4 linked regions of the Diceros bicornis minor genome follow. The protein of the gene in region 1 binds, or shares a complex with, the protein of each later gene. Links are inferred from orthologs where the notes say so. Each region holds a gene or a part of one and is shown in the gene's direction. Other genes may lie near its edges. The genes, in order: KRAS, RGL2, MAPKAP1 and phospholipase A and acyltransferase 3.

Evidence for each region.
Region 2: the proteins of KRAS (region 1) and RGL2 are in contact, whole or in part, in a crystal structure (PDB 8B69), measured with the Homo sapiens proteins. The link is inferred for Diceros bicornis minor from reciprocal best matches to the Homo sapiens genes KRAS and RGL2. Residues at the interface, in NP_001356715.1 of Homo sapiens: Ile24, Gln25, His27, Val29, Glu31, Asp33, Pro34, Thr35, Ile36, Glu37, Asp38, Ser39, Tyr40, Arg41, Lys42, Tyr64; in NP_004752.1 of Homo sapiens: Ile651, Arg653, Glu660, Asp661, Gly662, Ser663, Val664, Tyr665, Lys666, Ser667, Ile668, Leu669, Lys685, Lys686, Asn688, Arg689.
Region 3: the proteins of KRAS (region 1) and MAPKAP1 are in contact, whole or in part, in a crystal structure (PDB 7LC1), measured with the Homo sapiens proteins. The link is inferred for Diceros bicornis minor from reciprocal best matches to the Homo sapiens genes KRAS and MAPKAP1. Residues at the interface, in NP_001356715.1 of Homo sapiens: Ile21, His27, Val29, Glu31, Asp33, Pro34, Ile36, Glu37, Asp38, Ser39, Tyr40, Arg41, Leu56, Glu62, Glu63, Tyr64, Ser65, Ala66, Met67, Asp69, Gln70; in NP_001006618.1 of Homo sapiens: Phe280, His287, Gly288, Phe289, Ser290, Leu291, Ile292, Gln293, Lys307, Lys310, Arg311, Arg312, Lys313, Gly314, Ser315, Phe363, Glu365, Ile369, Val374, Met377, Leu378, Ser380, His381, Tyr484, Glu487, Ser488.
Region 4: the proteins of KRAS (region 1) and phospholipase A and acyltransferase 3 are in contact, whole or in part, in a crystal structure (PDB 7C41), measured with the Homo sapiens proteins. The link is inferred for Diceros bicornis minor from reciprocal best matches to the Homo sapiens genes KRAS and PLAAT3. Residues at the interface, in NP_001356715.1 of Homo sapiens: Ala11, Gly13, Lys16, Ser17, Tyr32, Asp33, Pro34, Thr35, Ile36, Thr58, Ala59, Gly60, Gln61, Asn85, Asn86, Lys88, Asp92, Tyr96, Lys117; in NP_001121675.1 of Homo sapiens: Leu65, Tyr66, Asp67, Val68, Ala69, Gly70, Ser71, Asp72, Lys73, Tyr74.

The regions. Positions count from the first base shown.
Region 1 is NC_080756.1:37,462,146-37,469,809, forward strand, and holds the start of KRAS (GTPase KRas), read left to right. Parts: upstream 1-4,651; 5' UTR 4,652-4,711; exon of another isoform or gene 4,712-4,724; intron 4,725-5,139; exon of another isoform or gene 5,140-5,255; intron 5,256-7,664. UniProt on the Homo sapiens protein: Ras proteins bind GDP/GTP and possess intrinsic GTPase activity. Plays an important role in the regulation of cell proliferation.
Region 2 is NC_080753.1:31,159,535-31,166,854, forward strand, and holds the start of RGL2 (ral guanine nucleotide dissociation stimulator-like 2), read left to right. Parts: upstream 1-4,318; 5' UTR 4,319-4,425; intron 4,426-4,656; 5' UTR 4,657-4,697; coding exon 4,698-4,856; intron 4,857-4,887; exon of another isoform or gene 4,888-5,387; coding exon of another isoform or gene 5,388-5,482; exon of another isoform or gene 5,483-5,487; intron 5,488-5,495; exon of another isoform or gene 5,496-6,036; intron 6,037-6,135; coding exon 6,136-6,219; intron 6,220-6,474; coding exon 6,475-6,653; intron 6,654-6,782; coding exon 6,783-6,833; intron 6,834-6,918; coding exon 6,919-7,216; intron 7,217-7,320. Other genes in the region: TAPBP (tapasin), read left to right, coding at 221-619, 1,022-1,363, 1,447-1,536, 1,666-1,703, 2,179-2,316, 2,443-2,454. UniProt on the Homo sapiens protein: Probable guanine nucleotide exchange factor. Putative effector of Ras and/or Rap. Associates with the GTP-bound form of Rap 1A and H-Ras in vitro.
Region 3 is NC_080767.1:33,988,518-33,996,170, reverse strand, and holds the start of MAPKAP1 (target of rapamycin complex 2 subunit MAPKAP1), read left to right. Parts: upstream 1-4,649; 5' UTR 4,650-4,864; intron 4,865-7,653. UniProt on the Homo sapiens protein: Component of the mechanistic target of rapamycin complex 2 (mTORC2), which transduces signals from growth factors to pathways involved in proliferation, cytoskeletal organization, lipogenesis and anabolic output.
Region 4 is NC_080770.1:9,290,186-9,297,060, forward strand, and holds the start of phospholipase A and acyltransferase 3, read left to right. Parts: upstream 1-3,867; 5' UTR 3,868-3,956; intron 3,957-4,454; 5' UTR 4,455-4,517; coding exon 4,518-4,532; intron 4,533-6,875. UniProt on the Homo sapiens protein: Exhibits both phospholipase A1/2 and acyltransferase activities. Shows phospholipase A1 (PLA1) and A2 (PLA2) activity, catalyzing the calcium-independent release of fatty acids from the sn-1 or sn-2 position of glycerophospholipids.

The DNA.
Region 1 (7,664 bases):
TGCTAAGATCCAAGGGATATAGTATTGAATGAGGCAGGGACTTTGGAATTAACCTAGTGGGGAAAACAGATATGCAAAAAAAGAATATAAAGTCTAATGAAATAAATGTCCATAGGAAATTATGTGCTGGGTAAATGAATTAAATAGCACCTATTCAGTGGTACAAATTTCCCCCCTGAGAAAATCGATATAGGGGCTTAGCAGTTCAGTGCACGCGCTCCGCTACTGGCGGACTGGGTTTGGATCCCGGGCGCGCACCGACACACGGCTTGTCCGGCCATGCTGAGGCGGCATCCCACATATAGCAACTAGAAGGCTGTGCAGCTGTGACATACAACTATCTACTGGGGCTTTGGGGAGAAAAAGGGGGAAAAAAAAAAAGAGGAGGAGGAATGGCAACAGATGTTAGCTCAGGGCCAGTCTTCCTCAGCAAAAAGAGGAAGATTGGCATGGATGTTAGCTCAGGGCTGATCTTCCTCAAAAAAAAAAAAAGAAAAGAAAACCGATATAGAGTCCATGAAAGCATCCATAGGGCTCCTCCTGCTTAACTTTTCCTGCTCTGTGTTCTGCTACTCTGGCCACAGATTGGCATCCAGGATTAGCACCCAAACTAAGGCAATGGTCTTTAAGTCAGGCATAAAGAAGGCCAGTCACCAATCACGTGGCCCGTCAGGAAAATTGTGTCCCATAAAGACCCTTCTTATTGGATAGTGAATGACAGATGCATTCAGATCCTCTCCCTTGGGATGTTTTAAATGTAAGTCACAGAGAGTGTCATGGGAAGCAGAGATAGTGGTAGAAGCTGAGACTGTATGAGAAAGAATCAGAGAGCTACTGATTCAGGAGAATGGCAAAATTACTAGAATGTGGGCAGTACATGCTCGTTAACGAGAGGATGAGTGAGGCACCAGAGCCTGTTACTGGATCACAAGAACTGCTGTTGATTCCTGGAATGACTAGTAGTCCTGGCTGATGATACAGTTTGCTAAAGTTTCCTTATTTCCTTAAAATAAACCCTCAGCATTTGCAGTGCTCTGAACATGTCCTGGCATTTTACATCTTGTAAGATCCCTACTAACACAAGGGTATTCCTGTTATTTTGGCTTTGATTACATCTTCAGAAGAGGGTATCTCCTGAAGGGTCAATATGATCTTCACAAAGCAGGATTAAAAGGATGTGAGCACGTGCACATGTGTATGTGGCTGCCTTCCCAGAAAAGTTAACAGTAGAGGGTAGAAACTTCAGTTACATTGTAGAGCAAGCCTGGAATTACCAAGTTTAAGCTTTTTGTTATTCCCTCTATCTTTTCCCATCACGATCACAGAATGAGCCTGTGTGCTTGTCCTTGGGGAGAGCAAAGAAAGGGAGAGCCAGGGAAACTATTCAATGCAGCCTCTAGGTTTGAAGAAGAGGAACCCAAAAGATAGAAGAAAGCACAGCTGTCAAGAAAAGAGAGGAATCTGAGTATCACATCTAGATCAGATCACTTCTCTGTATACAGACTGCTAACCACCAGTCTAGGATCACCTGATTTGTTAAAAATGAAGATTTCTGGTTTGCTTTAGACCAACTGAATGGAATATAAGGGTGAGGGGCCTAGGAACTTGCATTTTTGTAAGTATGCCAGGTGATTCATGAAGCGCTTTCCTTTGAGATCACTGCTCTAAGCCATGTGTCAAGGAAACACAGAGAGTGTTGGGGAGGAGGCTGCTGGCTTCTGAGAAAGCGCTCAGGACTGAATGGCAGAAAAGCTCCACATAGCAAATATATACATTGCTGTCGGAGTGACAAGGAAGCAGAGAGAACTGTGTGAGGGGAAGCTGGAGGGTAAGGTGTACGGAACAGATAGGGGGATGAAGACTTGCTTTGGGAATTGTGAGCCCAGATGATAACAGAGACCATGTGGATGGATTAGGTTTCTCCTAACGCCAGAATTTTTATAATCACCATGAAAGTGCTATATATTATAATAGCACTTCTCTATATTATAGTCCTTGTAAGATTTATGGAGCCCCAACTACAGGGAGAATATTGTATCAGCAGCTGTCAGAGAAAACAAGAGCTTATCATGTACTTGCAGAAGTTGGACAAAATAAATCTGTGATATATATTTGAGTGACTACAAAACAACATACAAATAAGTGCAAATTCATTCATTTAAGAAAAACCCACTGTGTCCATTATGTGTGGACACTTTTCTAGAGTCCGTAGGGTACAGTTTATCAGAAGGTGACCTGGGGGTGTTTAAAGGCAGATTTTATAAGAAGGTGAAAACAGAGATCACAGAGAATTTAAGGCACTCCGTCTAAGTAAGGATGTGGAGTCACAGAGTTCAGAAGGAGGGTACACAACTTCATTTATTCAACATTCCCCAAATATTTAGGATTTGGGGGAAAGAGAGAGAGATGCAATATCAAAGATGATCTTTTGGGAAGAACTCATTAGAAGAAGACACCTTAACAAAGATTTATAAGTGTTGGAGGAAGCGTTATGGATATATAGTGGACATGTGTTCCAGATAGAGGGGCAGCAAGTGCAAATGCCCCGAGGAAGGAAGAAGCCTGCCTGGCATTTTCAAGGAACAGCCAGGAACCGGTGTGTATGTACAGAAGTGAGGAAGGGAGACGCGTAGGATGAGTTCAGAGAGGTAAGGGGACTTTGCTTTGATGTTAAGCAGGATGGGAGCATGAGTGAGTTTGGAGCAGAGGAGTGAACATGGTCTGACCTAAAAGATACTTCATTTTAGCGGTGTGAACTTGAGCCCAATTTTCTTTTCTTTTTTTTTTTTTTGTGATGAAGATCAGCCCTGAGCTAACTTCCATGCTAATCCTCCTCTTTTTGCTCAGGAAGACTGGCTCTGAGCTAACATCTCTTGCCAATCCTCCTCCTTTGTTTTTTCCCCCATATCCCAGTAGATAGTTGTATGTCATAGTTGCACATCCTTCTTCTAGTTGCTGTATGTGGGACCCGGCCACAACAGCACAGCCAGAGAAGTGGTGTGGCGGTGCACGCCGGGGATCCGTACCAGGGCCGCCAGTAGCGGAGCGTGCGCACTTAACCGCTAAGCCATAGGGCTGCTGGAGCTCAATTTTCAACCTCTCTGATTTTGTTTCCTCATCTATAAAATAAGGTTGCTGTGATGATTAAATAAGATGTATGCGCGAAACATTTAGCAACTACTTGACAAAGAGTAGGCATATTCTTTTCCCATCCCTGTCTTCTACTTCCTGTCCTGTCTGTTCCACCTAGTACCAGGAGCAAGGCGAGGGGGACCCAATAAGCCTTCCAGACTACAGCCCACATAGGGGGTGCGAAAAAAAGGCTGACAGTTGGTGTAAGGCTTAAGTTAACAGACACAGTCGTTGGGATTTAAAATAATTGTTTAACCCATGTTTTATGACATGGACTAGAGGGACACAATTGGAAGTAGAGATTCAGATGGGTGTTTCCATTAGGTATAGGCGTTGGCCTGCCAGGCCTCAATCTTTAAAACTCAATTTACCTTTCTAGGTAGTTTATCAGCGCAGACTCTGGGTATGCCAGCAGTTGTAACTGTTTCATTGTTTAATGTGTTAACTCCCCAAATGTGAACTGATTAATCTCAGTCTTCTAATTAATGTGTCAATGATTCCCCTCAGGTCTAAACTATCAAAGGCACTTCTACTTAAAAATAGTTTGTCTTCTGCTTGTGCCGTCAGGGGCAATAGGTACATTTGAGGTCGCTCTTTAGAGTGACCTGTGATGGCTTCAAAATAGCCATAAAAACAACAACAAATAAGACGAGTGATGAAAGGGTTAGTCACGTCGGTTTGGGCCTGGGGCTAGGTTCCCAACCCCAGTGTTGAGGCTGATAATCACCAAGCCTTGATGAGAAAGCCCCGGGGTGGGGAACTGTCTGCCGGTCTCTCCCAGTCACCGAAGTCGCCTCCCACATTTCATGACTGCGTGTTTATTTACTGGCAGCAAATGACAGTAAATGAATGTGCACAAGTGTAGGCCGACCCCGAGGGGTGGCGGGATTTTCGCAGCTTCCGCGTGCAGACCCGAGAGGGGTGCGGCGGGGTCGCCTCTGGCGTCGCTCAGGTGTCCCTGCGGTGTGCGCGCGACCGATCGCGCGCCGGCCCGGGTCCGAATCTGCGGCTGCGGGTTCGGCTCTGCGGCGGGAGCCTGGGGGCGGGCCGCCGCGTGGGGTCGGCAGCCCCTCCTCCCGCGCCGCCGAGGCACCGCCCAGGCCCCCTGCTCCGCCGGCCGGGCTCCCCGTCGTCCGCCGCCCCAGCCACCCCCTCCCTCCGCCGGCCCGGCCCCCGCTCCTCCTCCGCCGGCCCGGCCCGCCCCCCTCCCCTGGCCCGGCCCGGCCCCTCCTCCTCCCCAGCGGCGCTCGCCGGCTCTCTCTCTTCCCTCTTCCCACACCGCCCTCAGCCGCTCCCTCCCCGATCGCCCGTCTGGAGAGGAATCGAGCACCGAGCGCATCAATAGCTCTGCCCTCTGCGGCCGCCCGGCCCCGAACCCATCGGTGTGCTCGGAGCTCGATTTCCCTAGGCGGCGGCCGCGGCGGCGGAGGCAGAGCGGTGGCGGCGGCGGCGGCGGTGGCGGCGGCGGCGGTGGCGGCTGCTCGGCCAGTACTCCCGGCCCCCGCCATTTCAGACTGGGAGCGAGCGCGGCGCAGGCACTGAAGGCGGCGGCGGGGGCCAGAGGCTCGGCGGCTCCCAGGTGCGGGAGAGAGGTACGGAGCGGACCACCCCTCCTGGGCCCCTGCCCCGGTCCCGACCCTCCCCGCCGGCGCCGGGCGGGGCCGGCGGCGAGTGAATGAATTAGGGTTCCCTGGAGGGGCGGGGAGGGGGCGCGGGCGCGGGCGCGGAGCCCGGGCGGACGGGCAGACAGGCTCGGGGGGTCTGCAGGGGGAGGCGCGGGGCCGCGGCGACGCGGGGAATGAGGAATGGGCGTTGCGGGGCTGAGGAGGGTGAGGCTAGAGGCGGCCGCCGCTTGTGCTGCTTCCTGGACGGGGAACCCCTTCCTTCCTCCTCCCCGAGAGCCGCGGCTGGAGGCGGCCGGGGAGCAACTCGCGGGCCGGGCGGGCTGCCCCTCGGGGCGGTCGGGTGCGGTGGAGGTTACTCCCGCTTGCGCTCCAGTCTCCCCTCCCCCTCGTCGTCCTCCCCTCTCCCTCCCTCCGCTCCCGCACCTCTTCCTCCCTTCCCAGCGCTCGGCTGCCTCGGTCACTGCCTTCTCGGCTGCATCTAGCATCTCTAGGACGAAGGTATAAACTTCTCCCTCGAGCGCAGGCCGGACGGATAGTGGTCCTCACTGTGTAGCGGGGTATAGGGGTAAGAGGGGAGGTCAGGTTTTGGCAGAGCATGGGAAAGTGCTTAGAGACCACTGTTTGAGGTTATTGTGTTTGGAAAAAATGCATCTGCAGCCGAGTTCCTGACTGCTCCCCTCCCCCATGTATGGGCTGTGACATTGCTGTGGCCACAAAGGAGGAGGTGGAGGTAGAGATGGTGGTGGAAGAACAGGTGGCCAACACCCTACAACGTAAAGCCTGTGACTTAGTGAAAAGGAAAAAGTTAATCGTAGAAGGTCTCTTTTGCTTTGTCAAGTTAAAACACACGTAGAAAACCCTCAGAGCAGAAGCAGGGCTTTTTCCTTGCTAGGTGAGTGTAGACGGCAATAACTAAAATCGTATTTGAAGTTTAATTTGCCTGTTCTTGTCCTTTCCCCCATCTCTTCTATATTCCCCTCATCCTTACGCATCTGACCCCCATCCCAAGAGTTATTACAGTACTCCTAAACAGCACTCACACAATTTTTTTAAACTGATTTAGGAGAGGAGTTAATTGTAGCAATTTGCCGGCCAACTGCCTGAAATACTCTGAGGCGTGTGCATACCATAGCTGAAGCCCTGCGCTAGCCTTTTTATATCTTGATATCCATCAAAATAAGAGGCTAAGAACAGAAAGGTATTTTCTGATTTTTACACAACGTACCTGTTACATTTGTAATGGAAAAAAAGTCATTTGCAAAGAAATTACAAAGGGGAAAAGTCTGTGTTGTAATCATCATCTCAGAAGCAGCTAAATGAGTGATGTCACTCTTAGGTGACTAAGGTCTAAAATGCTGACTCGAACATGTAATAGACTATAGACATCAAATACGGTTGATATCAATACTGTTTACTTTGAGACTGCAGCCAGGCACAGGCATACTTGGTTTTAAGAGATGGTAGATGAGGTGATAATTCAGTTTCATGACAAATAAAAGTGAATTTTTTTTTTGCTTAACAAAATGTTAGGTTCTGGTCCCAGTTCCACCCCTTGCTTTTGTATCTTTGGGTGAGGGGACTCTTTCTGGCCTATGATCTTCAGTAAGACTCCTTGGGAAGCCGGTTCTCTCTAGCGGATTTAAATATTACTTGGTGTTTAAAATCCAATTCAAGGATTTTTTTCTGAAACAACCACTGCATAAACAAGTAGACCAAGAAGGTGTCTGTCTTTCAGAATTCACACATGTATGCACAACTAAGCTCTAATCCAGCATCTGTCCACAGTATCACCTAGGCTAGCAAACTTTTTGGTCATCAGGACCCCTTTACACTCTTAAAATTTATTGAAGATCCCAATATGGGGTATGCCAGTATTTACCATAATAGAAATTAAAACTGAGAATTTAAGAAATTTATTAATTCATTTAAAAATAGAAATAATAGGCCTATTACTTAGTAACATAAATAGCATTTTTTTAATGCAAAAACAACTATTTTTCAAAACAATAAAACAGTGAGAAGAGTGCCATTGTTTCACACTTTTGCAAATCTCTTTAATTATATGGCTTAATAGAAAACATCTGGATTCTCATATCAGCTTCTGCATTCAATCTATTGTGATCACACGTCTGGAAAACTCTATACTTGTGACAGCATAAGAGTGGAAAGGGTAAAACATCTTAATAGTATTATGAAATTCTTGGACCTCCAAAACGTCTTAGGAGCCCCATTGGGTTCTTGGACCACATTTTGAGAACTACTGTTCTATGCTATCCAAATTATTTTGCGGGGTGAGGTGGGCAGGGAGCTAGAGGATACATTTTGGTGTGATTCTCCTCGTCTATCCCATTTGCTATGGCCTATATTTAGAATAAAAAGTGAGAGCAAATGGGATAAGATAGATGTTAGTAGTGGCTCCTAGGGTGGCCCCAGATGAGCAGCGAGTAAGGCTGGGTGGTGCAGAATAGGCCAGGGAGCTGTAATGTAACGGTCTGTGATACAACAGTTGTGTAGCCTGTCTGCTCTTTGTGAGAGGGCTCAGGAATAGGGTGAGGCGGTGGTTAGTATGTTATCATTTGGAAAACGATATTATCTTTTTTTTTTTTTTGGTGCCTATTTGGATAATTCTTGGTCTTCAGTAAATAGGATGCTGCATGCATATAGTGTTTATATACAATATCTGCACATTCATTAATTTGGAACTACTTATTCTATAATAAATGAGTGTGCATTTATTGCCATTCTTTCTGCATTTCACTTCTTATTTGTAATACTGTCATGTAGTTGTTGAGGGAAAGAAGATAAAATTAAATTTATTCATTTTATTTCAAAAAGTTTGAAACAACTGATTAAAAAATATTTTCTGTCTTGTGCTGTTAATCTTACAAGTTATCAGTATTTATTGCA
Region 2 (7,320 bases), on another chromosome or scaffold:
CTCTAGACTTCTCTGCTCAGTCTCAGCCACACTGGGCCCCACCCAGTCCCAGAGCAAAGGGGATTTGTAGGAAGGGCTGGGAGATGGTGAGTATCAGAAAAGGAGGTGTCCTCTGAGGGGTGGGGAGTTGAGTCCTCCCTATAACTCCATTTCTCTCTTTTTTCTCCTTCTTTCTCTCCCTCATGCCCCTCCCACTCCCTCGTCTCCCCATTTTCCCCAGCTGTGCTGACTGTCCTCACCCACACCCCCACCCCTCGAATCCGACTGGGACAAGATGCTCTGCTGGACTTGAGCTTTGCCTACCTGCCCCCCACCCTCGAGGCCGCTACATCTCTGTCCCCAGGTCCCCCTCCCTTTGGGCTGGAGTGGCGACGCCAGCACCTGGGTAAGGGTCACCTGGTCCTGGCTGCAACTCCTGGGCTAGGTGGGCAAATGCCAGCTGCCGAAGAGGGGGCAGTGGCATTTGCTGCTTGGGATGATGATGAGCCGTGGGGTCCATGGACTGGAAACGGGACCCTCTGGCTGCCTGCAGTGCGGCCCTTCCAGGAGGGCACCTATCTGGCCACCGTACACCTGCCATACCTGCAAGGGCAGGTCACCCTGGAGCTTGCTGTACAGAGTGAGTAAGGGGACAGGGGTCCCCACGGGTAGAGGGTAGGCACTGGGATTATGGGGACATCATGATAGGAGGAGGGATGGTGGAGAAGAGAGTGGGGGGTGAGTGGGGGGAGATAGATTGGGGTCCCTAAGAGTCAGAGGGGCAATGGGTAGAGGGTCCCTGAGAATCTGAGGGGCTTTGGGATGAAGGTTTCCAAATCTGAGGGAATAGGGGTCCCTGAGAATGGGGGGTTTGGCATGGGGATTCCTGTGAAGCACCAGTGGGAAGACAGTAGGTTCCCCATCCTGGAAGAAAAAACCCAAACCCCCCTCAGTTTTGGGGAAGCCAGAGGGCAAAGTGAGGGTCTCTGAGAAAGGACAATGTGGATTGAGTCCCCCCATGCTCCTTTCCTACTCTCTCCAGAGCCCCCCAAAGTGTCCCTGATGCCAGCACCTCTTGTATGGGCTGCCCCCGGAGAGGTTCCCCCAGAGTTGCTCTGCCTGGTGTCCCACTTCTACCCCTCGGAAGGCCTGGAGGTGGAATGGGAGCTCCGGGGAGGCCCAGAGGGCGGTATTCAGAAGGCCAGGGGAGAGAAGTGGCTTTCTGCCCTGCGCCACCACTCAGACGGCTCTGTCAGCCTCTCCGGACACCTGCAGCCACCCCCGGTCACCACCGAGCAGCATGGGGCACGCTACGCTTGCCGCGTCCACCACCCCAGCCTGCCCGCCTTGGGGCGCAGTGCTGAGGTTACCCTGGAGGTGGCAGGTAAGAGCCAGGAGGATAGAGAAGCCAGGGGCGGGCTCCCGGGAAGATACTACGGGACTCACTCTGGCCCCTTCGCCTGCCAGGTCTCTCCGGGCCCTCCCTGGAGGATGGCATAGGCCTCTTCTTGTCTGCCTTTCTCCTCCTGGGCCTCATCAAGGCACTGTGCTGGGCTGGTGAGTGTGAGCCCCACCCCGAACGGGACCGCGACTGGCGGACACTCCCTGCCTACTCCCAGAAGCCTGACACCCATCCCTCTGCCCTGCCACTCCCCCATCCCATCCCTTCTCAATCTCTCTCCACAGCTGCCTATTGGTCCACTTCCAAGGAGTCAAAGGAGAAGGTAACAGCACTCCACCGCCCCTTCCATTTCCCCTCTCATTTGATCCCCTTCCCCCATGGAGGGAGGCCGCTGGTGTGGTGGGCAGAGCGCGGACTTGGAATTCACACAGACCTGGGTTAAATCCTGCCACTACCATTCTAACTGTAGGACCCCTTGAACGTATTACGTAACCAACACCTCAGTTTCCTTGGGGGTGGGGATAAAAAAAATTACTTAGGCAGTGCTGTCCAATAGAAATATAATGCAAGCCACATATGTGAATTTAAATAATCTAAAAAGGTAAAAAGAAACAGGTAAAATTTATTTTAATACACTTTATTCCATCTAATATATCCAACATATTATCATTTCAACATGTAATCAATATAAGAAATTCATAGTCTTTTTTTCCATCTGAAGTCTTCAAAACCAGGTGTTTATTTTAAACTGTCAGCACACCTCAATTCAGACCAGCCACATTTCAAATGCTCAACAGACACACATGAGTGATGGCTACTGTATTGGACAGTGGAGCCCAGGAGGGCTGTTGGAAGGGTTAAAGGAGACTTTGGAAGATGCAGGAGCAGAAGCACTCACTGCACAGTGTCTGCCAGGCAGAAAACACACGGAAAATGTGAGCCCCATTCTTCTGCCACCCTCTGTGCCCATGATGGTTCATTTATCTCTGGATTGACCATAAGCACTTCACCCTGCATTCTAAAACCCTGAATTCCTCACCTCTTTTTTACTTCTCTTCCAGAAAGCACAGTGAGGGCCCTCACCATCATCCAGCAGAAGCCACCATCATCTCTGGTCTGAGCTACTATAGTAGCTCCCCCAAATACTACACCATCATCTGCTCCTGCTCCCTCCAATCTCTCTCCACTGAGTGGCTGGAATCCTTTTTTAAAAGACACAAATCTATAGCATGCACCTTCTTAGAGCTCTAGGGCAGTGGTTCTCAAAATTTTTAGTCTCAGGACCTCTTAAAAATTATCAAGAACTCTAAAGAGCATTTGCTCATGTGGGTTATAACTATAGATATTCAGCGTACTAGAACTTCAAACTGAGAAAAATTAAAACAAGAATACACAAGCACAAATTTCATTAGCTGTGAGAGCGATGTCAAAACACATGAGCTTCTGGAAAACTCTCCTGTACATTTTTTAGAGAATGAGAGTGAAGGGGCAAATAACATCTCAGTATTGTTACGAAAATAGTCTTAACCTCACATGTCCCGTGAAATAGGGACCTCCGAGACAGGAACCACACTTGGAGAACCCGTGTTCTAGAGGTCAAATCCATTCTTCTTGCCCTGGCCTCCGGGCCGAGCCACTGCTTACAGCTTCAACTCCACCTGATGCCCTCCAGCCTTCTCAATGCTCATCACACCGACGGCTATGCCTTTCCTCCAGTGGCCTCCCGCCCTCACGGGGCCCCAGCGCCCTGTTCCCTCTGCCTGGTCCACCCTCGCCCTCCCTGGGCTCCAGATCAGGTCAGCCTCGTCGTTCCCCTCAGACTGCCCCGTGTCCCTCTTGTGCGGCTCACCACGGTTGTATTTAAGTGATTGTGCCAGTCACTGTTAAATGCCTGTCTCCCCTCCCGGACTGTCGGCTCCTCGAAGCCCAGCACCATCCTGTCTCTTCCGCTGCTGTGAGCCCTGCGCCGCTCAGGGCCTGGCGCCCACTGGAGGGGGCTCAATTTAAGTTATCGTCTTTTGCGTCTCGTCCTAAGTCTTCAATAAGAAGTGTTGGATCAAATAACTATCGGACGAAGGAAGCGGCAGTTCGGCTTAGGGTCCTCCGAGGGGCCGGACGGTCGCCCAGGGCAACGCGGGGAGCGGGTCTAATCGTGTGGGAATAAAGTTGTGCTCCAGTGCTTCTAATGTGTCTCATTCTATCCCGGGTTCCCCTGTCCAAGCGCAACGGCTCTTCCAGTCACCTCTGGTCCCTTCCAATTACCCCAACCTCTCAAACGCCTTGGCGACACCCAATCCCCCTTCGAAAAAGTTTGGGGTCGGGGGCCACCAATGGCGGACAGCACGCCCTCAATCAGCGGGCTCTCGGGGCGGGAGCGCGACCTCAGGAGAGCGCAGATCCCAGCCTGCAGCCGGAAACCCGGAGCCCAGACTCTGGAACCGGATGCGGCGGCTTCCTGCTCCGCCCCCTTACGGGACGGCGGCCGCCGAGGGCTCTTCGGAAAACCCGGAGTGGATTTCCGTTTGCTGCACGCGTGGGTGGGGGCGGGGAGTGTAACCCCGGGGGTGGAGGAACTGGGTCTTTCTCCGCCTGAAACGCTTCGCGCGGGAGTTTTAGCCTCGTTGTTGTGTGGGGGGAGAGGACTGTCAAACTGCTGCTGCCCTCCCCCGGGGGCTGGAGACTGGAATCTTTATCCCAATTCAATGTGGGGCGACGTGGGCTCCAGGATCACCGAATCGAGGGGGCCCGAGCACAGCGGAGCTGGCGGCCCGGGCTCCTGGGTCCCGGCCCCTGGACGTCCAGCGCTCCCCTAGTCCGCGGCCCTGGCTCCTGTCCTCACTTCCTTCCCTTTTTGGCTCCTGCTCTCGGAGCGGGCGGACGTGGGGGGGAGCGGAAAGGGCGGGAGGGCCCGGGAGCTTGGCGGGGGGGTGCAAGGGGTTGCGGAAAAGCCGCGGAGGGGACTTGGTCCCGGGACTCGGTCGGGGGCCGGAGACCGACGGCAACAGCGGCCCGGGACCCGCACTGCCCCCACCCCTCCCGAGCAGGTCAGAGCCAGAACACCCTACGACCCTGCCCGTTCCCGTACTCGTGACCCCCCTCATCCCCAAAATACACCAGGGCCCCCTATATTCCACCCCTTTGTGGCCCTCCCCCCCGCCCCATTCTCCCTGCAGGACTCCTATCCGGTTACCTAGACACCCACCCGCGTCCCTCCCCTCCCACCTCCCCCGCGCCCACCTGACTCTCCACCTGCCCCCCCTCCTGTCTCTCCCCAGGCGCCCCCATGGCCCGACCCCGCTGATTCCTTCGCTCGGCCATGCTCCCGCGGCCCCTGCGGCTGCTTTGGGACACGAGCCCCCCCGGGGGAGTCGTGCTGAGCAGCTTCCGGAGCCGAGATCCCGAAGAGGGTGGGGGCCCAGGTGGCCGGGGCGTGGGCGGGGGGCAGGAGGAAGAGGAGGAGGAGGAAGAAGACGAGGTGAGATGTGGGTGGTGGGAGGCAGGGGGTCTATATTTCAGAGACTCGCCACCTTTCTCTCCGCGTTTGAAATGTCCCTGCATTTCTTCCTCTCTGTCTCAGTTATTTCCGCACCTCTTGCTGGGTGTCTGCCCGTCTCCCCGCTGCGGGAAGTCCCGGCGTTTCTGTGGTTCTCTGTGGCAGTGTGACTCAGGAGCTGCCCGCAGGAACCTGCCCTGTTACTGCCTGGAGCGTCTGGCGGGCTGTCCTGCGGGTCTCTGGCTCTCTCCGCCTGTACCTGAGTGTGCTTACCTCTCTGGGCATTGTGTCTCGGTCCCTGTCTCCCCTTGTTTTTGTTTGGCGGGGAGGGGTTTGTTTCCACAGTAACCGGCTCCTCTGACTCTGGGATTGGGGAGGGAACCCTTCGATTTCGTGACCCCTCCCCCCTTTCCCGCCTGGCGCTGGGTGGAGGCGGGAAGCCAAGGTTCGTGGACCTTGGAGGGACAATCGGAGGTTGAGTGGGGGGTGGTCACCTGCTTTCCTCCGGGACTAATGGTGCGGGCCGGGCGCAGGATTTGGGCCCTCAGGAGGGGCCAGAAGTTGGATTTGGGGCCCCGAGGCCCTGGACTCCTGGGTCCAGAGGCTGGGTGAGGTCAGGGTGACTGGCAGGGCTGGTTTTTCGGGATCGGCTGGGGGAGGGGCTGAGGCCATGTGACTCTCTGAGTCTACCCCCCCACATCATCCCCACTTCCCCTTCTCCTTCCTGTACTGGGATCGGAGCCGCCACCTTGAGGGGGTCTCCGGGGCCGAGGGACCAGGGGGAAGGGGGCTGAGGGGAAGGACTCACTCTTTGGGCTTGGCCAGTTCCTGCGGGGGAGGGCGGAGCATGCGGCTGTGCCGGTGACTGAGGTTTCAGCTTCTCAAGGTCTCTGCCTCTGGCTTTCTGCCTCGCTCGCTTCCCTCTCCTCCCCTTTGCACCTTGCTTTTCTGCTGTGTTAGTTCAGCTCTGGGGGGAAGGGGCTTCGGCAATCTCCGGGATCAGGGTTCCTGCATTCCATCCACCCCCCCACTGCAACCCCCTCGACTCCACCGGGCCCTGAGGCGGCTTGGGGGGGGCTGTCTGGGCCCCAGTGGGGGAGACCTGGGGTCACCAGCCCCCCCCACCCCTCGCACTCGCTGGTACTGTCCCCCGCCGCCACAGGTGAGGGGTACAGAGGGAGGAGTAGGGCCTGGGGGTGAGGGCTGGGAACAGTGGGGGGTGGTGTGGGACTGTCTGACTTCTCGTTTCTTGCTCCTCCAGGCCCCTGTGTCTATCTGGGATGAGGAGGAGGATGGTGCCATCTTTACTGTCACAAGCCGCCAGTATGGGTCTCTTGATCCCTTGGTGAGATCATAACTTTGGCTTCTCACCTCTGACCCATCACTTCCCAGCTCCCCTTCCTCTAGCCGGCTTTCTGGCCAGAGTGCTAGGTTGGAGGTCTGGAGACCTAGACTCTGCTGTGTAACTTATATCAAGTGTTTTTGCCTCTCTGAATCTTAATATAATGAGCCTGGATCATCTCCTAGGTCTGGGATTTTCCCCAGAGATCTACGGGCAGAGTTGAAGAAAGGGTCAGTGACTGGTCCCCTGTCTCCCCAGGCCCCAATGCCTCCCCCGCGTTCCTCCCGAAGGCTCCGAGCTGGCACTCTGGAGGCCCTCGTCAGACACCTGCTGGATGCCCGGACATCAGGGGCTGACGTGACCTTCATGTCAGCCTTCCTGGCCACCCACCGGGCCTTCACCTCCACATCTGCCCTGCTAGGGCTTATGGCTGACAGGTCAGGGTCATAAGGACCAAGGGTCATGGATGTGTCTGGATTTTCTAAAGCCAGCGTATCCTACCAAAATAGTCAAAGCCACTGGGGGTTTGGAAAAAATGGACAGATAGAATCTCTTCCCCTCCCCAGGCTGGAGGCCCTTGAATCTAGTCCTAGTGATGAACTAGAGAGGACAAAAGGGTGAGTGACCCCCGATTCCTAACCTCACAGCCCCTCTGCCCGAGCTGCTGCTTGATGGCTGACCCCCGGCTGATTCTCCTCCCAGGGTAGCCATCTCTGTACTGTCAACCTGGCTGGCCTCTCACCCTGAGGATTTTGGCTCTGAGGTCAAGGGTCAGCTTGACCGGCTTGAGAGCTTCTTGCTTCGGACAGGGTATGCAGCAGCGGAGGGTGTTGGGGGGGGCAGCGCTGACCTCATCCGCAACCTCCGGTCCCGGGTGGCCCCCCAGGCCCCCGACCTTCCTAAGCCCCTGGCTCTCCCCGGCGATCCCCCTGCTGACCCCACGGATGTCCTGGTGTTCCTCGCTGACCACTTGGCCGAACAGCTGACCCTGCTAGATGCGGTGAGACCCTGACCTCTGACCCCCACACCCCTTCCCCCTTACTAACCTTCCCCTGACTCCAGATCCTTTCCTTGCTTCCAACCCTTCCCCATCCAGCTCCCAGC
Region 3 (7,653 bases), on another chromosome or scaffold:
TCCTAAAATTGCTTTGTACCATAGGAGTATAAACGCCTATGTTTTCCCTATGGGAGGAAAAAATATATTTTAAAAGGAGAGGAAACCAAAACTGGGAAAATAGCAGAGAAACATATTCACACATATAAGATACTAAGAACACACATTTGTGGGCTGGCCTGGTGGCATAGTGGTTAAGTTTGCGCGTTACGCTTCGGTGGCCCAGGGTTTGTGGGTTCGGATCCCGAGCACGGACCTATGCACCACTCATCAAGCCATGCTGTGGCAAGCATCCCACATATAAAGTAGAGGAAGATGGGCATGGATGTTAGCTCAGGGCCGATCTTCCTCACAAATAAATAAATAAGAATACACATTTGCAAGCAACTGGAAAGTGCTTCCATTTTCCCACCGCTCTGGGAGGGCTGGAAAAAGCATTACTTTCATCCTATTATGTTTACTCTCAGCTTGTTGTCATACATTTGGCAAAGTGGTATTTTCCATATGCAAATTCTGCTTATACAAAATAAGATTTCCAATTGCTTCATTTCACATGCACATTTTGAGCACATTTGCATTTAACACAAATTTTACCAAGTGTTTACGGTGTTATAAACTTTCAGTATATAGAAAGAAATAAATGTCCCTTTCCTCATGCCCTGTCAGGGAGACAGATGTGTATTGGAAGAACCACAGAAAATGTGATAAATGTTGAATACAGAGAATGAAACTCCTTATGTGGCCTATTAGGGAGAGGTGATCTGGGAAAGCTTCCTGGAGGAAGCAGTATGTGAATTGGGTCTTCAAGAATGAATAGACTAGGGCTGGGCCAGCGGCGTAGTGGTTAAGTTTGTGTGCTCTGCTTCAGCGGCCCAGGGGTTCGCGGGTTCAGATCCCGGGCACAGACCTATGCACCACTTATCAAGCCATGCTGTGGTGGCGTCCCACATACAAAATAGAGGAAGATTGGCACAGATGTTAGCTCAGGGACAGTCTTCCTCAAGCAAAAAGAGGAAGATTGGCAACAGATGTTAGCTTAGGGCCAATCTTCCTCACCAAAAAGAATGAATAGACTATACTTAGAAGGGGTTAAAATGGCATATATGTAATAAAAATATTTTTTAAAAAGCACATTGAGGTTTATCCTTTTAGAATACTGCCACTGTTATGTAGAAACCCAAGATAGCCACTAGAGAGGCCACAAGGAGAAAAACTAAGGTGCCTTGGCCAACATCTCCAGCCATTTAGACCTTCCAACCATTCTAGCCGCCATTTGACTGAAAGTACATGAGCGAGCCCAGGCAAGAGGGGCAGAAGAACCACCCATTAAGCCACAGAATCTTGAGAAATAATAAATGGTTGTTGTTTTAAGCCACTTAAAAGAAAAAGATGGGGGCCGGCCCAGTGGGGTAGTGGTTAAGTGCACGCACTCTGCTTTGGCGGCCCAGGGTTCACGGGTTCAGATCCCGGATGCGCACCGACACACTGCTTGTCAAGCCGTGCTGTGGCAGCGTCCCATATAAAGTACAGGAAGATGGGCACGGATGTTAGCCCAGGGCCAGTCTTCCTCAGCAAAAAGAGGAGGATTGGCATTGGATGTTAGCTCAGGGCTAATCTTCCTCACACAGAAAAAAAGAGGGGCTGGCCCCATGGCATAGTGGTTAAGTTTGGCGTGCTCTACTTCGACAGCCTGGGTTTGGTTCCCGAGTGTGGACCTATACCACACGTTGGCAGCCATGCTGTGGCAGTGACCCACATACAAAATAGAGGATGATTGGCCACAGATGTTAGTTCAGGGCGAATCTTCCTCAGCAAAAAAAAAAAGAGTAGGAATTTGCTGAGTGGAGAGGGAAAGGGCAATTGAGGCCTGAGCAGGAATTGCTCAAGCAATTGTGTTTCAGGAAAGCAAATGCATAAAGGGACCTGATTCTTGCTACCCATCTTGGTGTGCCAGGCCCTAAGAGCTGGCATTTATAGAACAATTCCTGTATGCTGGAGAAAGTTCTAAGCACTCCATGCATTACCTCATTGAATCCTCACAACCTAGATGAGGAAACTGAGGTAGAGAGGAGGCAGATAACTTGTCGAAGTCCACACAGCTAGTCCGTGTCTTTGAACCTCTGTCTGTTGCCCATGTTCTAGTCCTGTGGACCAGAAGAAAAGGAACGTCTATCCCCTACCATGGCCTCCTTTCCAAGTTGTCGTAGGTATGCTGAGGTATTGATCTCTCTGCCTTCATGTTTACTGGAGTCCCGCGACCAGCCCCTGGCCCAGCACCATCGGTATGCTGTAAAAATAATTTTTTCTGAGTGTGTCAGCTCTCACGGTCTTACTCCCATGGACCCCTTGGTCAGGCCAGAGATCAACGTATACTTTGCTTTTTAATGCCACTTGCATTCACTCTCTGATACAGCTCCCACTGCTTGGAGGCTAAGCCATCCGGTTGGCCTATCCTCTCTCCTCCTCATCCACCTCCCTCCCTCAGTTGCAGAATGGCTTGGGAAGCACCCCTGGTTTCCTTTTCACATCTGTCCATCATCCTGGAGCTTTGGAGGCCACACGGCATCTCAGTTCCTTGACCGGCTCATCTTCAATAACTTTCTCCTCCATTCCACTTCAGCCAGGACCTCACTCTCACACCCTACTCTCTTCATCTGAGGTTATTCGTTAAGACATCCATCTCTGAGGATAACCTCCATCTTTCTGCCTGCCTCCCGCCATCACTGACTTCCATTACACCTCTCCTAGGACCTTCAGGCCAGTGACATGAGCCTTTCCTGAATTCTCTTACCTCTCTAGTATCCGTTCTGTGGCCCTTTGTTTTAAGCACTCTTTAAAGCTGAGATCGGGACCGGCCCTGTGGCATAGCGCTTAAGTGCATGCGCTCCGCTGCTGGCGGCGCGGGTTCAGATCCTGAGCACGCACTGCTTGTCAGACCATGCTGTGGTGGCGTCCCACATAATGTGGAGGAAGATGGGCACGGCTGTTAGCTCAGGGCCAGTCTTCCTCGGCAAAAAGAGGAGGATTGGCATGGATGTTAGCTCAGGGCTGATCTTCCTCACAATAAATAAATAAAATAAAAACTCTAAAAAAAAAAAAATTCATTGTTAAAGCTGAGATCTTAAACTCCTGACCCCATCACGCCTGTCTGGCAAAACTCCTACACCATCAACTGTCCAGCGTCTAGGGTAGGCTTCATACATAGGCACTCAGTAAGTATCTGTGTACTGACTGAAGTGTAGCAATAGTGGTAAGCATTTTATATACATGTTAGCTACATGCCAGGCTCTATTCTCTGTGAATAATATGTATTAGCTCCTTCAATCCTCACAACAACACTCTGAGGTCAGTTAGGACTTTCGTCATTCCCATTTTACAGATAAGGAAATTCAAAAAGGCAGCTTGGAGAGATGAGGTCATAAAACTTGTCAGTGGTAGAGTGGATATTCAATCCTTAGAACCCATAAATGCTTAGCATGTCGAGTTGATTTCAGTTTTAGATAGTTTGTTTTATGTGTCTGAGGGACAATCAGGCAGCTGTGCTTCAGACTGGAGCTCAAGAGAGAAGTGAAAGTGAAGATTAATATTTAGGAGGGGACAGATAACCCGGTGACCTCGGAAAACAGAATATCCAAGGTTGTTCACACCCTTTTCTTTGACAGAGCGCCCCCAACAGGCCCCCAATGAAACTGTGGTGGTGTGTGTGAAGGAGCGCATTTGGGTGTTAAGGTGCATTTTTTTTTCCCCCATACGAGCTAAGATCTATCCTATTTGAATACATGGGGGTGGATCCCTGGTGTATTTGTTGGTAACTGTAATATTGGGTAAGGATCTCCAAGGGCTGAAATTCAGCCTTGACTTTTTTTTTTCTCCTTTCGCTAAGGCGCATTTTTCAGGGAGACTTTCTGGACCATCTCTGGGCTAGGAAAGATACTATATCCTTCACCGTGCCTTCCCCTACTGATTCTCTCTGAGATATACAGAGACCTCAAACTATGAGCTCCTGTTCTCCGCCAGTCCTCATATCTCATGGAAACTTCCCTACAGTTCTTGAGGAAGATAATTATCATCTCCGTTTTACAGATAATGAGTAATAACTAACATTTACTAAGTGTTTATTACGTGTCAGGTACTGTGTCGTGTTTTTAAAGCATCATCCCATTCGAGTCTCACAGCAATACTCTAAAATTGGAACTCTGTATGGATGAGAAACCCGAGGGTCAGAGAGGGGAGGTGTCTTGTCCTAGGATACACAGCAAGCTAGAGTTGGCATTTGAACCTGGGTCTTCTGACCCAAAGGCTAAGCAGCCTCATCACTTATTTCTGGATGAACTGAGGGCTTTTTTCTGTGGAAGCGGGGAGAAAGGAGAAGGAGATTCGAAGGGGAATGCTAACGTTGATTTCTACTTAACGCAAATCCAGAAACTGATGTGATGTTGTCTGACTCGCCGCTACTCTCTGACCCAGGATTTACCCGGGGCCGGGGAAGTGGCGCGCATGCGCACGGCCTCCCGTTCGGCCCCGCCCCCCCAGGGAGGGCTTCTCTCCTCGCTCCCGGCTCTGGGGCTTGCGCACTATGTCCCCAGCTAGTGGCTCCTTCCCGGTGGGGACTTCCGGTGCGGGGGGTGCGGTTCCGGGTCGTGGCGCGGCTCGGGGCGATAGGGCTGATGCTTGTCCGGCCGGCGGCGGCGGCGGCGGCGAGCAGCAGGGGTATGAGGGCGAGCCCGGAAAGCGGCAGCTGAGCCGGCCGGGAGAAGTGCCAGTCCCCGAGGATTCCGAGAGTGCGGAGCTCGGAGCAGGGGCCGGGAGGCGCGAGGGAGCCGGGCCCGCCCCTCGGGAACGTGTCCCGGGGCCGACCCGGCCCGTAGTGTGGCAGCAGCTTCAGGTAAAGGTTGCCCCCGCCAGCTCCCTCGCTCGCTCTCCCGCCAGCCCACCCGAGGAGCCTGGTGGCCCTCCTCGCCCCTCCGCTCTCGGCGCTGCCCGGCAGGCAGCCTGTCCGGCCCTTGCTCAGGTCTCCCGTGAGCATCCGTTTCCTGGCCCTCTCCGGAACTGGAGGCTGCTGTGAGCCTGACAGCTGGGCGTGCGATTTGGGGGAGGAGCAGCTAGTGGACCTGGTAGTGTTGAGGGGGTTGGAAGGGTACTGTTGGCTCCGGCAGTTTCTGGCCCTACACTCGGCATCTAGGTGTCCTAGTCTTCATAACGCGAAAATCAAGTTTTTACAGCATTGCCTGTGTGGTCCCTGTTTCCTAGCGCCCCTTCTCCCTATTGCCCCCAGAAGGCCTCGCAGAACTGTGTTTTTCTAGCTAGAGTGCTGCTGGAACTTTGGTTCAGCCTTTTGTTTATGGGAGTGGCAAGGAGTCTTCTAGATCTGTTTAAGGCTGGAAAAAAAAATGATTGTAGTTTAAACAAGAGTATTACTTTAACCGGAGACCCATAAGTTGACTCAGAAATTAGTTAAAATTTCGTTCTGAATGAGCGCAAGTAATTTTTGAAGCCTGTCAGTACCTGGCACTGTGCTAAGCGTCATGTTATAAACCAAAACCAGCAAAGGTGGGAATTTCCCCAGGTGTGAACAGTCAGATGGAGACAAGTGTTTATACACATCAGTTCAAGTCAACATTCTCATTCTATTTTGACAGACAGAAGGGGTGGATTCCTAATTTAAAAACCCACTAGAGCAGGAAAAGGAGGCACCATGTTTTATTCTTCATAGTCTATGAGCCCACACAAGGTGCTCCGTAAAGGCTGAGAGTTCTTGATGGAGCACTGATAATTGTTTTCATCTTTTCGATATACGCACTGGCAAGCTTGCTGGAGCCTGTGAGGCATGCTAGTGGCCCCTTTGCCATTCAGCTTTGTACTCATACCTTCCTTCAGCTACTGTGATATGAGATTGCACTCACACTCCTCTGCACCTCCTGATCTGGCTCCTGGCTAACTTTACAGCTACACGTGAAAAGGCCTCTTTCCTTAATTACCCTACTCTTATCCTTTACTCTGGATAAGTAGGACCTCAAATCACTTTTGTTCTTTGTTTTGTCCATTGTTTTTTGTAGGACATTCTCTCTGCCTAGAAAGTTTCTGCTTTTCGATTTCCACCTACTGAGATGTTACCTGGGGCCCAGTTGAAACTGGCCTCCCTCAGCCAATTCAGGACAGCCCCAGCTGGAAATGATTTCTTTTCTCAAATCCTGTAAACACTCATTATTACATCTGCAATTATTTCCTGCAGGGAGCTCAATTTAGTTAAGGAAATAATTCCAACACAGAGTGATAAGTACAGTGTGAGTTCTGTCTGTGATACAGTGGTAGCCCAGAAAGGGCGTGGCTCATTAACTTTTGAGGAGTATGCTGTGGCCAGGTAATGCTTCATAACGTGTGGTTAACTAAGCTTTATTATTTACTATGTACTGGATATTATACATAGATTTCTCTTCTTCAATCATTTTAACCTCAATTTCCAGATTAGGAAGACTCAGGATAAATTACATGTCTGGTATGAGGCAGAGCCTGGAGTCAAACCCAGGTCTGTCTGATGCCTACATCTGTGCTTTTTCCATTATGTGTTTTGCCTTCTTTCTCACACCATAGCTCTCTATGTGCAAGTACGTATTGAAACAACTAGACAAGAGAAAAAACATGAATGTCAAAATAAATGGTACAGATAGTCTTTTAAATGTAGAGAAGACTGTGAACTTCCAAGGCAAGAAGGTGGTAGGTGGGTCAGCTCAACTTTGAATATGAGTGAGAAAGACATTCTGTAGAGAAGTATGGACTCTGGATTCAATTCCTGGTCCCTTCTCTTACGAGATATGTGACCTTTGGCAAGGTTCTTAATTCTAAGCATTATTTTCCTCAAGTATGGATTGGGGTAGGAGGATAATATTGATCTCATGGAGTGTTGTGAATATTTAATGAGCTAATGTAGATACAGGGCCTGATACATGGCAAGGCCCACTGAAGTGATAGCTGTAAGATGTGAAGGTGTGAGGCCCGTGGCATGGCATTAGAGTGGTGAGTAGACAGCCTGAATCCAGCAAACCATTGCTTCTTTTAGTGGGGACACCAGGAGGTGAAGTTGGAGGGTCACTAGGGGTCAGAGTCAGTGAGGGCTTGAGTGTCAGGCAAGAGGGGCAAATTCTAGTTTCTGCTCATAACTTTTCCAGTTAATAAACACTTTGAGGATCTGTGATTCATTCAGCAGTCCCAGGGCAAATGTTAGACCCTTGGGATGCAAAGAGGAAGAAAACAAGGTCCCCACCCTGAGGTTGTTGACATTCCAGTGGGGGAGACGAATTTGTGTGCAGATGAACGGTAGTGAAGTACTGTAGGTACTAAGATAGCAGTCCCCATGGGGTACCATGGAGCACGAAGGAGGGAACACTGATAATGGTGGTTAATGAGCACTTACTGTGTGCCAGCATCATGTTAAATGCATTATCTCATTTATTCCTGTACAGGAAGGTGTTATTAGCATCCTGATTTTACAGATGAGGGCACTGGAGCACAGAGCGGTTAAATAAATTCCTTGCAGGTATTGGAGCTGTCAGTGGAGGGGATTATCTGCTAGACTTTGGCATCTCCACTCTTCATTACTACACCGTGTTGTTTCTGCTGTGTACTGTGGATGGGGACCCTCTGGAGAGGCGTCTGAGAGGAGCTAACCCTTGAGCA
Region 4 (6,875 bases), on another chromosome or scaffold:
CATAGGCACCAATAAAACAGTTGTTTATGATGAGAGCTCTCTAAAAATTTTTCCAACTTAAGGATCCATTGTTTGGCCATTTACTCTCTGGAGGTTAAAGAATATTGTGGCCATGTGGTGTTACAAAAGAAAATCATCCCTTTTTAGACATTGGCTCATAACTATGATCAGACCATCTACTCAGAATCAGCCCCAATGGGCTCCACTTGGGGACAGACAGCATGTTCCCCATTCTGTTACACAGAGATGGACAGACATACAGATCCAGACACAGAAAAACCAGACACCAGTGAACCAGCTCCCAGATTTAGGGTACAACTGTTCCCACTCCAAATGCGTGCCCAGATAGCCCCTCCACAAATGGAAGTGGCCCCAGATGGCCCTGCCTTAAATGGAAAGACCCCAGATGGAGGGGAAAAGAGTTCACAGGCATCCCTGAGGCAACTTACCCTATTCCAGATTGAGTCTGTGGACTCACCAGAAGCAAACACAAACAAATCTAGAGCCTGTTTCTTTGCTACAAGAAAATGTGTGTAGGGCCAGCAGTTCTGGGTCAGAAGGAAACTACGGGGGACAGTCCCTAGGGCAAATCACCTAGGCAGCTGATAGACTGCTTCCCAGGAAATCCCAGTTGGCCAGGGCCACGGAGCCACGGGCCAAGAGCCCCCTGGCTGGCTTGCCAAATTGTTACTGGACACAAACACAGGTTCTTTATCTGCCACACAAGAGGGGCCAAATAAAAATTGGAACACCAGGCTTATGGCAAGCAAAGGGTTTTTATTTCAGGTGACATTAGCCAGGAGATGAGAGTCAGCCCTCAAATTTATCTCATCTCCCTGAAAGATGGGAGGAAAGGGGTTTCAAAGGTTGTGAGGAATGTGGCTGCTTGTAGGGAGGGGGAGCCTGTGGCCTTGCTGGTTGGTGCTTTCCCACCAGCCTGTGTTTGGCCTTATGAGGCTGCTTGCAGGGAGGGGGTGGTGAGATAAGAGAATCGCAGGTGGGTGTCTTTGGTTGCCTGCCTCTGTGGTGGAGGGTGGATTCTGGCACCAGTAAGCTGAGGAGTTGGGGTCTGGGAAGCTTCAGCTTCCTGATATTCTCTGGATATCAGTTTCCCTGTAATAAAACTTCCAAGGACCCGTAACTAGCCAAGATGTTAGCATGAGGCCACCTGGGCTCTAACAATCTGTAACTTCTATTTGCCTTGGGAAGTTCAGGGATAGAAAGGTTTAAAAAACCAATATTTACATAGGACTATAACTTAGAGAAGCAAGCAAAGGGAGTGAGTGCTTTTGATTTTAACCCCATATATGCTGGGTTTAATGTAGTGGACCCATATCAGGGCCAGTATCAGGAACTTTTCAGGGCCTCGCAACAGGGATTTGTTCTCAGCTTCTGTAGGACTTGAGGAGTTTCACAGATAGGGGATTCAGGAAGAAGTTGTACTTCCCCTTCCTTTTCTTTCATAAAAGCCTGATTTTTCTGGTCAGAGCAAACTGTCAAAATTGGCGCAATCACAAAGCCTCACCAGAGTAGCTGGGACACATGTAAAAGGCCTGTATTCACTTGGCTAATGGAGCCTCAGGACCTTTCTCCTGAGGACTACTCCTGTCTTTTGCTTTTTTTTTTTTGGTGAGAAAGATTAGCCCTGAGCTAACATCTGATGCTAACCCTCCTCTTCTTGCTGAGGAAGATTGGCCCTGGGCCAACATCTGTGCCATCTTCCTCTACTTTATACGTGGGATGCCTGGGCCGGCCCAGTGTTGAAGTGGTTAAGTGCACGTGCTCTGCTTCGGTGGCCTGGGATTTGCAGGTTCAAATCCTGGGCACGCACCAATGCACCGCTCGTCAAGCCATGCTGTGGCAGCGTCCCATATAAAATAGAGGAAGATGGGCATAGATGTTAGCCCAGGGCCAATCTTCCTCAGCAAAAAGAGGAGGTTGGCATCAGATGTTAGCTCAGGGCTGATCGTCCTCACAAAAAATAAATAAATTAAAAAAATAAATGAAAAATAAATATATGTGGGATGCCCGCCACAGCATGGTTTGATAAGCAGTGCATAGGTCCATGCCCAGGACCCAAACCTGTGAACCATTGGCCACTGAAGTGGAGCACGTGAACTTAACCACTACACCACCAGGCTGGCCCCTACTCTTCCTGTTTTTAGAGTTGCTGTTAAGCAACAGAAACCCTCATGTTATCACGGAATGCTGCTACGGATTCTGCTCCTTAAATGCGGTTTGCCTGTCCTCTCTCTCTCCTCCCCTCTCCCCTCTCCTCCTGCCCTGGCCTTCTCCTCCCACCCCACCCGCTCAGAACCCCCACAGGGTCTCCCACTTCACAGCATTTAGCCTTGTGCCATTTCCTCGCACCTTCTCAGTTACCCCTTCCTCAGAGACAGCAAAACAGTGGATTCTCCTGGAGGAGAATTCATCCTCCTCAGAAGGCAGAGAATGGAAGACTTAAAATAATTAAAAATAAATGTTTCTCCCCTATCACAAGAAGAAGAAGAACGGGGCTCCGTGACTGTGATTGCAGAAAAGACCAGAGGCTTTGGAGGCAGGTATTGGTTTGATCCTGGCAGGGCTGTCCCCCTGTCCCGTGTGATGGACTTGGAATGGGGCTTAGGGGTGATCTTGCTGACGATGGTGCCGGCATCATCTGCTGGCAGCTTCTCAGTCCTGGGGCCTTTCGTACAGAGCTCCTCTTTTGAGAGCTGTGTGAAAGGTAAAAATCACTTTCTTGATATCCCCGCCCCTCAGGATGTTTTTTGTTTTTCCTGGCACAGCAATAGGAAAAACAAGTAAAGGAGGTGACATCTGGGCCATTCTGGAAGCAGAGAGTAAGGAGAAGCAGAAGTCAGTCTGGTTTCCTCAAAACCGAACTTCTCCATCCTGGATTTGGACCACTTTACAGAGAGTTGCTTGCTCAATACATATGACAATTTCTTGGGTGAGTGGTAATGCACAGAGCGTTCTGGTATTTATCTAAATTGCCTCTGACTCTCCTTGTCGGGAAGCTGGTGAATAATGTGTGATGTTGACGATCGTGTACCTTTCCTCGTGTAAATAATAGCCAATGTGTCCTGCGGATTTACCATGTGCCGGACATCAAGCTCAGCATTTTTATAAGCATCATTTCATTTGTTGCTCTCCCTTTGAGGAATGTACTTTTATATATTATCTTATACATTGTACAAGATCATCATCACTCCATTTTACAGATGAACAGACTGAGGCTCAGAGAGGGAAGGATGCCCTGGACCCCATAGCTGGCAAGTGACAGGGCCAGGATTTGGCGCAAGCATCCTGATCCCAAGGCTCAGTGCTGGCTGGGAGTGGCGGGAATATAGAGATGAACCGGAGCTGGTTCTCCTCTTGTGGAGCCACAACCAGTGCAGAGGAAGGCCCTGTGTTTGGTCATTCATTCATTCATGGAATGCCTACTGTATGCGAGGTTTGAAGGATATCTGATGGCTTAAGACCCAATAGGTAAAAATACTCTCTGCTAGACCCTTGCCTTCAAATGGCTTTAAAATTTATTATAGTTTTGAACTATAAGCCCACTCGAGTGGAGGAGATAAGTAAATTGATTGCACTCCAGTGTGATGTGTGTACAGAGAACAGTATAATACTACACGTTCTTAAATATTGGGGGGCCCGCAGAGCGCGTGTAGAAGAGGTGAGGAGGTGGCCCTGGAGCTGGATCCAGTGTGTCGGGGAGAGGGGGGCAGAGGAGGACGTGGGGAGAGGCGGTCGGGGTGAGAGGGAGGCATCCTGGCTTGTCCAGCCCAGAGGCCGGAGCCCGCTGTCCCTGTGCCGGGGGCAGGGAGCTCTGCGTGGCTCTCATTAGCCAGTCACACAGGGAGGGGCCCGGTGACCTCACGCCGGTCTGGCCTCTGCGGCCATTAAACTCGTTCTCTTTGCAGTGGCGGCCGCGCTGCCTCCAAGTCCGAGAGGTGGGTGGACAGGTTCTTCCTGGGACTTAAGAAAGGGTGGGATGCTTGGGGCGGCTCTCCGGGTCCCAAGGGCTGTGTGGGAGAGGGAGAAGTTGGGTGAGGCGGGAGTAAACAAGTTGGGGAGCAGCCTGCAAGCAGCTGCCGCCTCCTGGCACCGCGGACCGGGGAGGGAGGGCCGGGCGCGGCGCCCTGGCCGACTTTTTGGGGCGCGGCGCCCTGGGCAGGCGACACCGATCGCGCTCCCTGCAGCTGGGCCGCCAAGCCTCTCAGTATCGGGTGACCCTCCCCTGCCCCCTTCAGGGGATGCGTGGGTTCTGGGCCAAGTGCAGGGCAGGGAGGCGGCGGGCGGGGAACTCCGAGGGAGTAGGCGGTTGTGCCTGAATCCGGTGGCAGACGCACAGCGCACGGTCTCCCCACCAGAAACCCCCGTCCCCTGGGGTCTCGGGGACGCTGTTTCCTGTTTACGACGTAGAGAATCTCCTGCTCTCCCTGCCTCAGGCACTTACACTGCTGAGAAAGCGAACTCCAGCCTGAAACTGAGAGTCCACGTCACGAAAGAAGATGCGCGCGCCCATCGTAAGTGTGGGGCGGGCGTGGGCTGGGGCTGGGGGTCGTGTTTTAGTGGGGACTCGCTGTCCCGGGCCTGAGTTGTCACTTCAGGGAGACGATGCTTGAGGAGGTGGGGCCACACCTCCGCAGCCGCTGGGCAGCAGGAGTGGGTGTGGGTCAGCGGGCACCTGTTGGAGTCGTCTCGGTGCCTGAACTTGCGAGGGCAGGTGTGGAGGCCGCCCTGCTGAAACCGGCCTCCGGGAAGGCAGGCCCTGCGGGACCTACATGGAGAGGGAGGCAGAAGGGACGACTTGCTCCGCAAAGGCCCTGTGCTGCCGTCCTGAGTCCGGCCAGAACGCCTGGACTGGCCGCTGGGGCTGAGTGGGGCAGGAGCTGCTACCCCAGGCCTCGCCTGGGTCTGACCGCAGGGGCCTTTTCTGGTCTGAGCTGACCGCACCTCATGACCAGCCCTGCCAGCAATTTCCAAGCTCTCACGTTTTCGTTTTCTAACCTGTGATGTGGTTCGGAAATCATAAAGGGCCTTGGCAGGCGGCAGAGAGGTTCAGAGCGCCAGCTTGTGAGGTAGACCCCCGGGGATTGTGTTCCCGCTGAGCACTTAGCTGCGTCTCTTGGATCAAGTTTCAAAACCCCTCTGTTCCGGGGAGTGAAGATTATATGACTGAATACTTACGAAGTGCTCAGAACAGTGCTTCACACACTTATTGAGTGCTCAACTGTAATTCACTATTATTATTATTATTTCAATCCTGGTAAAGAGCTTCACACCGCACCTGGCATCAGAGTGTACCTGGTTTATTTGATGCCTGGAGCTGTCGTTTTTAAATCTCTCTCTCTTTCATCTGACATTATTTCCAGTCACAATCATGAAATAAATAGTAATAATGCCCAGAAAAGAAACCTAGTGAAAATTTCCTTTTATTGAGCTTTGTATATGAAGTCATGTCAGTGAAAAAATAAAAAATGAAAAATCAATAAAGTTAGAGAGAAAAATAGAAAAAAGTAATGGATTAATGGTTTTTAATTGCATTCACGTATTTTTGAAAACAACTTATTCTTACATATAGGGTGATCACAGTAATGAATGATAATAACATTACAGTTTCTGTTTTGGAACTTTAACTTCTGAAAAGTTGACCATGACTTTGTCAAAACTGATCTTCTTTGCATGTTCATGTTCAATATTCAGTGAAGCTAGATTTGTCAATTCATCTTTGCTCACAGTTGATTGAAGAACCCTTTTTATTAATTTTAATTTCAAAAGCTTCTCTTCATATGAACCAACACATATCCAAATAGGAAAAGCCTTAAACATTAGGATAAGTTTGTCAGAGATTCGTAAAAATCCCATTTCATAATAAATTTCAGACATTGCAATAATGCCTGTCTTTTTTTTTTCCTAAATCAATTCTAGTGGCTTCTAAATATCTCCACATTTGAAACATTTTCACTAAAACATCTTCCCCAGAAAATTCATCATAAATTTTTATCTTTGGCAAAATTCTCCCGAGATTTTCTTCTTCTGCAAAAGTCAGAGAAAACGGCTGAACAACGGTAAACATTGACATTTATTTAAACCATTGCTTTAGAATGAGAGTCTGGCTCTTGGTGAAAATGATTCAGGCTTTCAAACACTTCTTTTTAGTTTCTTCTGGCACTGGGAGAGCAGACTCTTTTTTCCCTCTTTTTAAAATTTTTAAATTAAAAACCCTTGTGTTGAGGCTGACTTGCAATAGATCGCAGCAAGGGAGCTGCTCTGCTACCCATGAAATTCCAACCCAGAAGCAGGTGGTCTACGAATGGTTTAGAGAGAGCAGGCTCTTTGTCTTCTGTTTAAACACAGGAAAATGTAGAACCACAGGGGTTGGTGACACAAACTGTGCAGAAAGTTCAAACCATTCTGAGCGATTCGGAACTCGCTGTGGGAACAGACATGTGTAGCTGAGCCTATGTGTCAGCAGCTGACTGCATAACTGGGTGTTCTCTGATTGAACTGCCATGGAGAAGACAAAGTTTTTTAAAGAATAAGAAATAAAAATGTGCTAATTTGAGGCTCACATATATATTATTAAATCTCAGCAGTAATTGCCACAAGGAGAACTTAAAACAATACAATAGCTTTAGGGGGAGTAGTATTTTATCACTATTATTTAAAATTGTTGGCAGATGGTGGTAATACACAGCAGACTGACTTTTGTTGTGTCGTATTGTTTTAAAATTCTCTGCGGACAACCCATTTCTATTTGTCTGCACCCGGGGAATACGGCTTCCACCTCCCGGCACTGGGTGTGCCACTGCCTGGCTCTTAGGGCTTGACCAGTGTTCCTGGTTAAATCTGCTCCCTGGACCTCC